Schizosaccharomyces pombe: one gene and its partners. The main gene of each other region encodes a partner of the protein of the gene in region 2 in a complex. Each region holds a gene or a part of one and is shown on either strand. Other genes may lie near its edges. A codon is read from its position in the direction of its gene.

Region 1 (3,754 bases), 580 kb from region 2:
ACGAAGAAGGAAGGTTTATTTCACGGTTCTTGATGCGAGCTATATCGGAAGACCTTCTTCTAGTGTCCCTCTCAAAACCATTGAATGAAGAATCTGACCGAGTCAAAGAATGAACCCCAGAATTGCTTCTTCGACGTTTAAGAATTTCATAATCCTTAGAGATAGAGGCCTCCGAATGAGGACTAGAAGTATTGGATATACTGGCACCAGAAGTATTTCCAGGTAAAGCGCGACCGGCTTCTGATTTGCTACTAATCAATTTTGAACGAGGAGGAGCGCTATGTCTATGCTTATGAGAGCGTTCTGGTAATAAATCTAAACCGTTACATTTCTCTAAAAGGTTGCGCGTAATTCGAGGGAATTTAGAGGAGTAATATGGGACTATTGTCTCCTTACAAAACTTCAATAAGAGATCCTCAGATCGTTCGGTAGCATTTTGTTCTATAGTCCTTCGTATGCAAAGCCCATCAAATGTAAATTCCAATTTTAATTGAGCAGTTTCAAAAGGATTAAGCGTTTTTGCGTTTTTTTTCCGAGATTTTCGTTTACCACTATCGCGAGAATCCAACAAACTGTTATCATTAGCCCGACGCCTTGCGTACTCAGGATCCCATTTTAAAAAAAGGTATAGAATCTCAAAGTATAAAAGTACACGAATTTCATACTCCTTCAATTTCAGTTGGGAAAACTCCCTCTCAAAGTCAAGTTTTGTAATTTGACAATTTTCTCGATTTAATATGTTTTGAAGCCAGAGGCGATAGCCTTTAATCTCATACTGATGGGCTTCATTTTCGAATTCCAAATGCCAAGCCTTATAGTTTAAATGTGATTCAAAACATTGAAGTAATCGGGATTTACGGTCATCGACAGATTTAAGATTATCTAAAAATTTTAACAGTTCATCAACTAGAGCTTTTTCTTCTACATGATTGTGTACTTCAACTGCTAGTTGTCGAGTTTTTCCAACCATTTGCTTTACATAAAAAACAACAGGTGTTTTGGTCATCAATAGTTGATAAAAGTAGGAATTGTAAAGATGGTCCAACAAAGATTTAACGTCACGTGAACAGCTAGGAGTATAATCTTGAACCATTTCAGTAACGGAATCATTTGCAAATTCATGCGTAAGGGAATTGCCATCTTTTGAAGACGAAATAAGATCATGCGTAACGAATGAATGCGGAGCTTGGCTTTCGCGTTCGTTTGCTTGAGAAGCATCTGATTGAATTCTGTGAAGTTCCTTTTTTAACAAACTAGGTGACATTAAAGAGTTCGAACGGAACAATTGATCTCCTAAAGGTTTGTTTGAGACGTTGGACAAGCTTTTAGAGGATTTCGTTAATTGATGATTTGCTATCACCTTCAAAGACTTAAAATCCAATTTTTCTGAAAGAAAAATCAAGGCATAACGGCTCCCTTCCACATGTTCAATTCCAACAAGTTGATTAGCTTTCGAACTTTTTACACGTCCGAGTAAAACACTAGTGCCAGCTGGCCTTATAACTATGAATTGTAGTGATGAGCAAGTAAACTCGTGATATTCCTTTGAAATGCACCATCGCAGGCAAATACACTGCCTTGGTACAGTAACTAAGGGCCAGACTTCAAGATATGATTTTTCCCAATTTGAAGGAGCCTAAAAGATGTCAACAACTAATCTTTACTATTTTTAAAATGTAAGTACCTTTATACAAAATGATTTCTTGGAAGCATGGTCGTTATTCATAAAGATACCAAAATCTTTAAATTAGTGTACCTAAAAAGATTTGTTTGTTTGAACATTAAGTGCTCTGCAAACTTTCATACTTAAACAATTCGTTATTTATGATTACGAGGTTTATCCTACAATGTATTAAATACAATCGTTGGCGTTCAAAGCTGCACTTCATAGGGCGTTGATGTCATAATCAATAAAATTCATATAAGCGAATTTAAGGTTGACTTAGATGACGACATTCTGATTGTTGCAAATAAAAAGTAAACAAAACAAAATCTACAAATATCTTCAAATTTTAAAAAAGCACACATATGATTCACTTTCTCAACGGAACATGTTTAAATTTTTACCAAAAAAGTAGTATTGATTAAAAATTTTCGTAATTTTTTTTTTGGGAAGGTACTTAAGTGTGAATGTCCAACTTCCGCATTGTAACTATTTTATATCACATAAAACTTCGTAACTCTCTGGTGAACTTAACCTTCCATTGGAAAGGGTAAGCTACAATACTACCGCTTACAGAACATGCATAAAAGGAAGTGATTTAAAAATAAAAGTTTTATTCGTTTTCTACTTAAATATTTCCATCAGAGATGGTTAGGTAGAGTTACAAAAACGTAAGCAACTCAGTTCCTATCGCATTACTGCTTCAATCAAAGAATGCTAAATTCTTAGCATTCCTATCAACAGCAATTGCGAGAAGAGCAATTAGAATGGACTTCGGTACGTATGTTTACCCGTGATTGCTTAGAAATTATTAAGCTCAATTGATTATAAAATAATCAATTATTAAACCAAAATCCATGCGTAATAATAATAACCAAACTAGTCGTTCTAGATATTTAGTCGTAAAAGTGATGTACTTCGAAAAGTTTAGCCAGTTTAAATTTTTTGTTGTCGAGACCTTTTAAAAGGTATATTGCTTTCTTTCAATAATAATAATAAAAAATAGAAATAAAAGGTTTCATGATTCAAAGTTTATAGAAAAAACTTAGGTTTAGAAAGTTGAATATATAAGAGTATACTTCAGGCTAGGTAAAGTATTGAGTCAGCCTAAAATCATTAAAATCTTCTAAGTGTAGAGAGGGAATGCATGGCAGTAGGAGAATCATTAACGTCTGGGGAAGCTAACACACTTTGGCCAAAAGTATAACTTTTAGTACGCATAAAAGTAGCGTTTCGTTTGAAATTATTCATAGCCTTGGTGCAGGTCATAACATGCGAAGCATCGTTCATCGGAACGTAGTTAATTGGGTCACAACGGTTTTTGTGGTTTTCGTAAAACGACTTGTAACCACCATGAAGTATATAAACCTCGGGATAGTAAAGGAAAGGATAACGATGACTATTCATTCGTCTGTCGGTATTTCGAAAGTGCAATGCCAAATGAGGTGCTCTGTGCGCACTATGTTCACAATGAAAAACAAGTGCAACCCGATGAGTAAGAGGTTTACTTAAAAAGGCATCCACAATAGCTTGTTTCGTATTTAAATTCACAGCAGTGCTAATATGGCCCCCAAGGTATTCATATTCAAAACGGCAATCAATAATGATGCATTTGTCAAAAATATCCTTAAATTTACCATCTAATAGACCGAGCAATGTTTCTTGGGTAATTCGTTTCAATGAGTCCTCCTTCACGGCGAAGCAAGGAAGAGATAAATCCTCGACATGAGAAGAGATGAAGCGCTCACTTTCTTTGGTCGATTGTTTTGGCGTAACGCACACAAGATCTTGGCTTTTGAAAAGCCCTAGTCTTGTGGAATTGAGAAACATGCTTTGGGTACGACGAAGCACTGGTGTATCTTGCTCATCATATTCCGCATCTTCTTGCATAGCGAATGCCATCGGAGAAGGGGACCTAACTTTCAAGCTAGGAAAGGCAATATCTTTATTTATCTTGGGTAACATATCAATAGGTTTAATGGGTGAAGCTTGAAAAAGATCATCTAAAGAATTATCATTGCAAGCACCAAAATCACTGTTGGGACGTTGAATAGAGGCAGCGTCTTCAACAAGTTCAACAGAGCTTTCTGG
Region 2 (3,754 bases):
ATTCTTTCGTTTCAACCCATCGGAATAATCAATACGAGGAACTATACGTACACGTGCGGTTAAACCATTTTCTGAAAGGTTGTCAACCTGAGCGAGATCACCGGCGTACTTTCCACGGCGTATACGCACATATGCACCAGGCAACAGTTCAACAACCTGTTTTTGAACTTTGAGTAAATCCGGCATTTCCTTAATTGGAACTAAAATCATGTTATTTGTATAAACATTTAAAACCCCATTAAGTGCATCTAGAACATGTGATTGCTTTCGAGCTTCAACGTATATATAACCGACCAGCGAGTCACGTTGAAATGCTGAAATGATTTCTAATGGAGAGCTAGTATATTGCAAATCCATAGCTTTCCGCATTATGGTAAAAACAATATCCTTTTCTTTGCCAATTTTACAGCGAACAGCCCAAATATTGGGATCATTCACTGAAGGAAGTAGAAGACGTTGGGGAACATTGCTTGTATCTCCAACAACAGTTTGGCTACGACCATACTTTTCACGATACTCCTCAGCAAGGCGTTCAGCATCAACAGATTGTAGTTCCTGTCTTTGACGGTCAAGTTCACGATGGCGACGATCATCACCGACGTAATCCGCTCCAACTTCTTCTTCAATGAAACCATCTTCACGACCAATTTCATCTTCCTCATCTTCAAGCTCTTCCTCGTCCTCATCTACTTCTGCTTCAATATCAAGGAATTGGTTGCGGCGGTCATGGCGAGCCCTTTTTCTTCTACCGCCACCTGATTCATCTTCATCTTCCTCGTCTTCCTCATCATCTTCTTCATCCTCTTCTTCCTCTTCGTTTGCATCAGCTTCTTCCTCGTTTTCTTCAACATTATCCTCATCTTCTTTTTTGTCATTGTTATTTACATTATCGACTTCGTTTTCATTCCCATCTTCGCCTTTATTAATTGTGGTATCATTTGGACTTTCGTTATGGGAATCCACGGGAGAACTCTGTTTTTCATTTGTAGTAATTTTAGCAGCTTCAGAATCATCATTCAGCAAGTCACTTCCATTGGGGGATGCACGGGTAGAATTGATTTTAACTGAAGCAGCATCTTGCTCAGCTGCATCTACCTCAGTCGAATTTGCATCTTTATCAATAGATTTCGGAGAATTCGTATCCATTGTGACTTAAAAAAGAGGAAATAGTACCTATTCCCTCAATGCTTTGTTTTTAGACCTTTAATCTAATATAGGCGATAGGTTCGCCGATTAATGAACTTTTTATTCAACAAGTGGTGTTTTGTTAAAGGTGACTTACAGTACGTACTGCTGCCCTATTTTACCAAGCAAGTAGGTCTTGTATGGCTTGCAGCGACAAGAGTATAGATATACGAAAGAAGCAATTTAGAATGGAATACTTACGGTTTTTTTGTAAAATCAAACTTTTGCTTTAAAAGTATTTGCTTTAATGGTAAGCTTGAGCAATTGCCACTGCTGGTAAACAAACTTGTATACACGAAATGCCATACACAATCTTAAAGTTAGACTTGGTTTAATTGAAATTAAAGATAATGGGATGCTCAGATTATCAATAAATTCATCTTACATTTAAATTGTAATATTATGTTATATTCCATATAACTATGAACCCTTTAGGGCAATATCCCTTTGCGTTACTAAAATCCAATATAAATATTAAACTGGATAAGAGGATATTTTTTACCGAGAGAATATAGGACAAAGGTGGTGTCCATATACTATCTTCTTACTCAATAAATCTTATAATTATGATACAGGTTAAATGAGGAATAATATAATAGCCAGCTCTTGGTGCTTGTTCATAATTTCCCCCAAACCAATGATGCTACTCAGCTATACAGCATCGTGTACATTGCCAATACAGTCGAGTTTTTCGAATAAATGCTTAAAATTTAATTTTGGCCTTTTATGACTCTCCATTTGTCAATCTTCGCACCCACCACGGTAGCATATAACAACTTGGTTTTAGCTTCAATCTACTCTTAACCTTCGAAAGTCGATTTTCTCTAAACATTCTTTATTTTCCCTTTTAAACATTACCAATTTTTGCATTTCCTCACAATAATATGTAGTGGTGATGGACGCGTTTGTACTCGTAAATTACCTATACCTACTCACCTAGAACTCATAAATGTCGGTAGTGAAAGAATGGGTTCTTCTAAACCACTCAAAGGCTTCGTGATATGTTGTACCAGTATCGATTTAAAGCAAAGGGTAAGATTTTTGCACGACGAATCGCATTTTTTGTTATTTGTGTTACTAACTTGACAGACCGAGATATCTACAAAAGCAACTAAACTTGGTGCTGCCTATAGATCAGACTTTACTAAGGATGTCACGCATCTTATAGCCGGCGATTTTGATACTCCAAAATACAAGGTATGTCGTAAAATCTTACAAATTACACTATCCTTCAAGAGTAAATGCTGACATTCTTTTCAATAGTTTGCCGCAAAATCCAGACCAGACATAAAGATTATGTCTAGTGAATGGATACCTGTTCTTTATGAAAGCTGGGTACAGGGAGAAGATCTGGATGATGGCCTGCTCGTCGATAAACACTTTCTACCAACTCTATTTAAATGCCGGGTTTGTCTTACCAACATTGGCCAACCAGAGAGATCTCGTATTGAAAATTATGTGCTTAAGCATGGTGGTACATTTTGCCCTGACTTAACTAGAGACGTAACTCATTTAATAGCTGGCACCTCATCGGGTCGCAAATATGAATATGCATTAAAGTGGAAAATCAACGTAGTTTGCGTTGAATGGTTATGGCAAAGTATACAAAGGAATGCTGTCCTTGAGCCGCAGTATTTCCAATTGGATATGCCAGCCGAAAAAATTGGACTTGGCGCGTATGTTCGTCTAGATCCCAATACTACGGAGGCAAAGTCTTATTCTGAAAACCAAAAAATAAGCAAGAATAAAGAAAAGTCTGGTCAATCCTTGGCTGCATTGGCGGAGGAAGCGGATTTAGAACCCGTGATTATGAAACGGGGAAAGAAGAGAGATAGAAGTATTTTATGGGAAGAACTTAATAATGGAAAATTTGAATTTTCCAGCCGTTCTGAAGAAAATTCAGTACTACTGGATGATTTCACTCCCGAAACTGTTCAACCCTTAGAAGAAAACGAATTAGATACGGAACTCAACATCGAAAACGAAGCTAAACTTTTTAAAAATTTGACTTTTTATCTTTACGAGTTTCCAAACACTAAGGTCTCCAGGCTTCATAAATGTTTGAGCGATAATGGAGGCCAGATTTCTGAATTTTTGTCTTCTACCATTGATTTTGTCGTTATACCTCATTATTTCCCTGTCGATGAATTGCCCATCTTCTCATTTCCTACAGTTAATGAGTGGTGGATAGAAAGGTGTCTTTATTACAAAAAAATCTTTGGAATCGATGAACATGCCTTAGCAAAACCTTTTTTTCGTCCATCTCTGGTTCCTTATTTTAATGGTCTTAGCATTCATCTTACTGGATTTAAGGGGGAAGAACTTTCGCATTTGAAGAAGGCTCTCACCATCTTGGGAGCAGTTGTGCATGAATTTCTTGGGGTCCAACGAAGTATTTTGTTGGTAAACACAAATGAACCTTTCAGTATGAAAACTAGATTTAAAATACAACATGCTACAGAATGGAACGTTAGAGTCGTCGGAGTAGCTTGGTTATGGAACATCATTCAAAGCGGAAAATTCATTGATCAAGTTTCTCCATGGGCTATCGATAAGAAAGAAAATCAAG
Region 3 (3,754 bases), on a different chromosome or scaffold from region 2:
CTCGACGAATCTGCCAATCCTAATGAGGGAGGTGCTCTGCAATTTCTTAAAGCAATTGCTCGCTTCGTGAGCAGGAATAATGGTTCTGAGTAATGTCTTCGATTAAGTAATTCGTCGTATATCAAAAATTTCTATTTAAAATATTATCCGTTGAATCGTTTCTTTATAATTCACTGACGATTCGTATTAAAAGTTTTTAAATTGAGCATTACTGGCGTTCTTTTTTTTTTTTTTAAATAAATATGGAGGAATTAAAATGCTTTCATGGTAGGATTTGTCCTCTTACCAAAATGAGTAAGAGTAAGTTGGAGTACACAATACAATGTTGCTCGCTCAAAATGCTCTTTACAGAATGTTTATTGGTACAGTTTCATTTTTTCTCATATATGAAATATTTGTTTTAGGAAATAGGCAATCTTTATTTTTCTTGCATACAATGCTTATCTTTCCTAAACACTTAAGATTTATAAATGCAATGTATGTTCATGAATATGAACTGCGAGCGCCAAGGATGAATTACATTAGGACGACTAAAAATGAGAAGTTGCACTCCCGAAGTATCTCTACTTCATACTTCATTATTATTTATGCTTTATATTGATTATTGTTGTTTTACAAAATATGTTTTATTTCCAAAACAGTTGGTAAAATGTAGGATATGTAATGTCAAATACATAATACCAACATCTATTCTTAATAAGTTAGAAAGTTGAACAGTATTGAAATGATTTACTAAAGCTAGAAAGTAGCCAACTGTAAATGGTTAAAGTATTGACGTGTAGTCACATTCAATTTTTGCGCAATATCATTGAATTTCAAATCTAACGATTTTACTTTTGTAAACAGCCAAAAAAGTGGTCATAAAACGGTCAGGGAGGGACTCGAACCCTCGACCTCACGATTAACAGTCGTGCGCAATAACCAACTACGCTACCCGACCTCGGTGTCATCCGTTACATTTAGTAATATATATTGTTAAAAAAATAAAGCGTAGTAAATGTAATTGCTTTTTTGAGCTATGGCTTGTTACATTCTTTCTCTTGAGCAAATTTAGACTTGCTCATTACAATCATAATCGCTTTATAACGTCTATCTGCTTGTCTTCATTTGCATGAAAAAAAATCATATAAACAATGTATGCGGATAGTCAACTCAAACAAAATAGTAGTAATTAAATAGCAATAATAAAGAAGGAGCCTACAGCACCCCGGATTCCCATGTTGTCTCCAACCATAGTACTAACGAGGCCCTCAGACGCTTAACTGCAGTGATCGGACGGGAACTGGTGTTTTCGCCTAGGTATGGCCGTAGACAGCTGTTAAGTTTTAATAAAGTATATAAACGATAGTTATCACTCATTAGGAATTCGAATGTATGTTGGCTCCACTACGAATAAGATATGAATGTTAGCAATATAACCTGAAACTATATTTGACATTCTTTTTTTAGAAATATCATTAAACAAGCAAAATCTATTTTCTATGATTGTTTCAAAAAGTCAAGATGAAAAGTTCAAAACTCAAATTTAAAATTACTTCTTCAACATTACTGATTCTAACAACATAAATCTCCTATCGAACGTATTAATAAAAGTGGAAACATGCTGTAGTTTGTACATCAGGTCAAACAATTATTAATAAAATTAGAAAATAAGTTTTTCTACCTTGAGCCCTTCATTTCCATATTAATATATATATATATATGATTAGCCAAATAGCTGGTGTTGTAACTAAACGTTCTTAACTGCTTTCATATAAAGTAACGGTGCAACGTGTTACTTATGCAGAGCTTACAACAGATAAATCGAAATTTGGGTTAAGCCCTGGTTAAATTTGTAGTTCTGACAATTGTGAGGTATTTTAGATGTTTTCAATATTTTGTTTGAAAGTTTAACAATATTATGGAGGTGAATGATACCTCTTTGCATAAAGGATTTGGCCTTGACATAAATTCTCAACGTGTATTTGGAGCACAAGCAGCAATTTCTCGTAACAATTATTCAAAAGTGAATGCTTCAATTAATCCTTCCCCTCCTAGGAGTAATGATAATTCTAATAAGGAGTTTAGTTATTCTAAGGATGTGAATAACAATGGTGCTGTTGAGGAGCTAAGTCTTACGCAGTTGTTTGAAGTACCTAGTCAAGCTGCTTTTGCAAAACAGAGTTCCCAGGACATTTCGGATGATGAACTTATTCAACATGATTCTCGTAAGGTGATATCGTCGCCTTATTCACCCAAGCAGACACATACAGTGTTAAAACGCTTATACGATCGTCAATCAGTTATATCGGACCATGAAAAGCTGTTGACTCCTCAGAATGTATCTAATTCTTCCCAAATTCTTTCCCCATTTACTTCTCTATTACCATCAACTCTTTCAACTTTAAAAGATACACCTTTGTCAGTTTCTCAAAATGAGAAAAACTTAGAAACCGTTGGAGAAGTCCTTGTACCTGAAACCGTAGCTCAACATAGGACAAAGTTTTACGATTACACTTTGGATGAGATGGAAAATGAGACAGAAAGCGGTCAAGTAGAGACTACACCTACTCGACTGGCGACTTCTCTAGGGTCTCCCGTTCTTTATGGTCGAGTAGAGTCCACTCCTCCTGCTTTTTTACCAGAGACATCCGAAAAACAATATAAACGAAAATTTAGCTTTACTGAGCCCTCGTCTGAAAAAGTTGATAATACGGAAACCAAGTTTTCAAAAAAAACTAAAAACATTAATGATGAAAACTTTCCTAATCCATTTAATGTGATTTCTTCATATGAAACAAGTGCTTCACCGTCGACTGTAATAGATCAGTCTAGTCAAGTGAGCTCAATTTTTGTAAACAAACGGCTGAGAAAATCGGTTAATAATCAAGCTATCTCAAGGTCTGACAGCCTAAGCCTGGATACTCCTAAAATTGATAGTTTATTCACTAGGGCTTCTATTAAGCCATTAAAACCTTCCCAATCACCGAATTCAAGAAGGTCTTTTAAAAACCGTGTACTCGCTTTTTTTAAAGGATATCCCTCTTTTTACTACCCAGCAACTCTTGTCGCACCCGTACATTCAGCCGTAACAAGTTCCATCATGTATAAGGTTCAATTTGATGATGCAACTATGAGCACGGTTAATTCAAATCAAATTAAGAGATTTTTTTTGAAAAAAGGAGACGTTGTACAATCCACAAGATTAGGAAAAATCAAGCATACTGTTGTGAAAACATTTCGATCTACTAATGAGCAATTATCCCTTATAGCAGTGGACGCTCTAAACAACGACATGGTTATTTTGGCACACGGAGAAATTGAGGTTACGGTTCCCATTTCTACTATTTATGTTGCTCCTGTGAACATTCGGCGGTTTCAAGGAAGAGACCTCAGTTTTTCTACTTTAAAAGATATGAAGTTTGAGGAAACATCATTTCTTCCTTCACATGATTCTCAGAGAAACCGCTCTTCTTTGAAAGAAAGGGATTCTTCCTTTGTCAAGAAGAACTTGGATTCAGAAAGTAATCAGCTCATCTTTGACGATTGCGTGTTTGCATTCAGCGGTCCCGTGCATGAGGATGCCTATGACCGAAGTGCATTGGAAACTGTAGTTCAGGATCATGGAGGATTAGTTCTTGATACAGGCTTACGCCCTTTGTTTAATGACCCGTTTAAAAGCAAACAAAAAAAGTTACGCCATTTGAAACCTCAAAAGCGAAGTAAATCGTGGAATCAAGCTTTCGTTGTATCTGACACATTTTCTAGAAAGGTT

Evidence for each region.
Region 1: the proteins of rad4 (region 2) and sld3 are in contact, whole or in part, in a crystal structure (PDB 6HM3), measured with the Schizosaccharomyces pombe proteins. Residues at the interface, in NP_593190.1 of Schizosaccharomyces pombe: Cys14 (codon at 2,191), Thr15 (codon at 2,194), Ser16 (codon at 2,197), Ser38 (codon at 2,320), Asp39 (codon at 2,323), Phe40 (codon at 2,326), Thr41 (codon at 2,329), Lys42 (codon at 2,332), Asp43 (codon at 2,335), Thr54 (codon at 2,368), Pro55 (codon at 2,371), Lys56 (codon at 2,374), Phe59 (codon at 2,449), Arg64 (codon at 2,464); in NP_592946.2 of Schizosaccharomyces pombe: Asp629, Ser630, Ile631, Leu632, Val633, Gln634, Ala635, Thr636.
Region 3: the proteins of rad4 (region 2) and crb2 are in contact, whole or in part, in a crystal structure (PDB 4BU0), measured with the Schizosaccharomyces pombe proteins. Residues at the interface, in NP_593190.1 of Schizosaccharomyces pombe: Leu109 (codon at 2,599), Thr110 (codon at 2,602), Asn111 (codon at 2,605), Ile112 (codon at 2,608), Gly113 (codon at 2,611), Gln114 (codon at 2,614), Pro115 (codon at 2,617), Glu116 (codon at 2,620), Arg117 (codon at 2,623), Pro133 (codon at 2,671), Asp134 (codon at 2,674), Leu135 (codon at 2,677), Thr136 (codon at 2,680), Arg137 (codon at 2,683), Arg150 (codon at 2,722), Lys151 (codon at 2,725), Tyr154 (codon at 2,734), Trp158 (codon at 2,746); in NP_596748.1 of Schizosaccharomyces pombe: Glu181 (codon at 2,441), Val182 (codon at 2,444), Leu183 (codon at 2,447), Val184 (codon at 2,450), Pro185 (codon at 2,453), Glu186 (codon at 2,456), Thr187 (codon at 2,459), Gln190 (codon at 2,468), His191 (codon at 2,471), Arg192 (codon at 2,474), Thr193 (codon at 2,477).

Annotation. Positions count from the first base shown.
Region 1 is NC_003424.3:476,971-480,724, forward strand, and holds the start of sld3 (DNA replication pre-initiation complex subunit Sld3), read right to left. Parts: upstream 1,755-3,754; 5' UTR 1,727-1,754; coding exon 1,685-1,726; exon of another isoform or gene 1,671-1,684; intron 1,637-1,670; coding exon 1-1,636. Other genes in the region: protein tyrosine phosphatase (M phase inducer) Cdc25, read right to left, coding at 2,780-3,754.
Region 2 is NC_003424.3:1,061,259-1,065,012, reverse strand, and holds the start of rad4 (BRCT domain protein Rad4), read left to right. Parts: upstream 1-2,100; 5' UTR 2,101-2,151; coding exon 2,152-2,217; intron 2,218-2,274; coding exon 2,275-2,382; intron 2,383-2,448; coding exon 2,449-3,754. Other genes in the region: DSIF transcription elongation factor complex subunit Spt5, read right to left, coding at 1-1,146. UniProt on the Schizosaccharomyces pombe protein: Essential component for DNA replication and also the checkpoint control system which couples S and M phases. May directly or indirectly interact with chromatin proteins to form the complex required for the initiation and/or progression of DNA synthesis.
Region 3 is NC_003423.3:4,209,187-4,212,940, forward strand, and holds the start of crb2 (DNA repair protein), read left to right. Parts: upstream 1-1,780; 5' UTR 1,781-1,900; coding exon 1,901-3,754. Other genes in the region: proteasome regulatory subunit rpn1301, read left to right, coding at 1-93. UniProt on the Schizosaccharomyces pombe protein: Essential for cell cycle arrest at the G1 and G2 stages following DNA damage by X-, and UV-irradiation, or inactivation of DNA ligase. Plays a role in the response to DNA damage.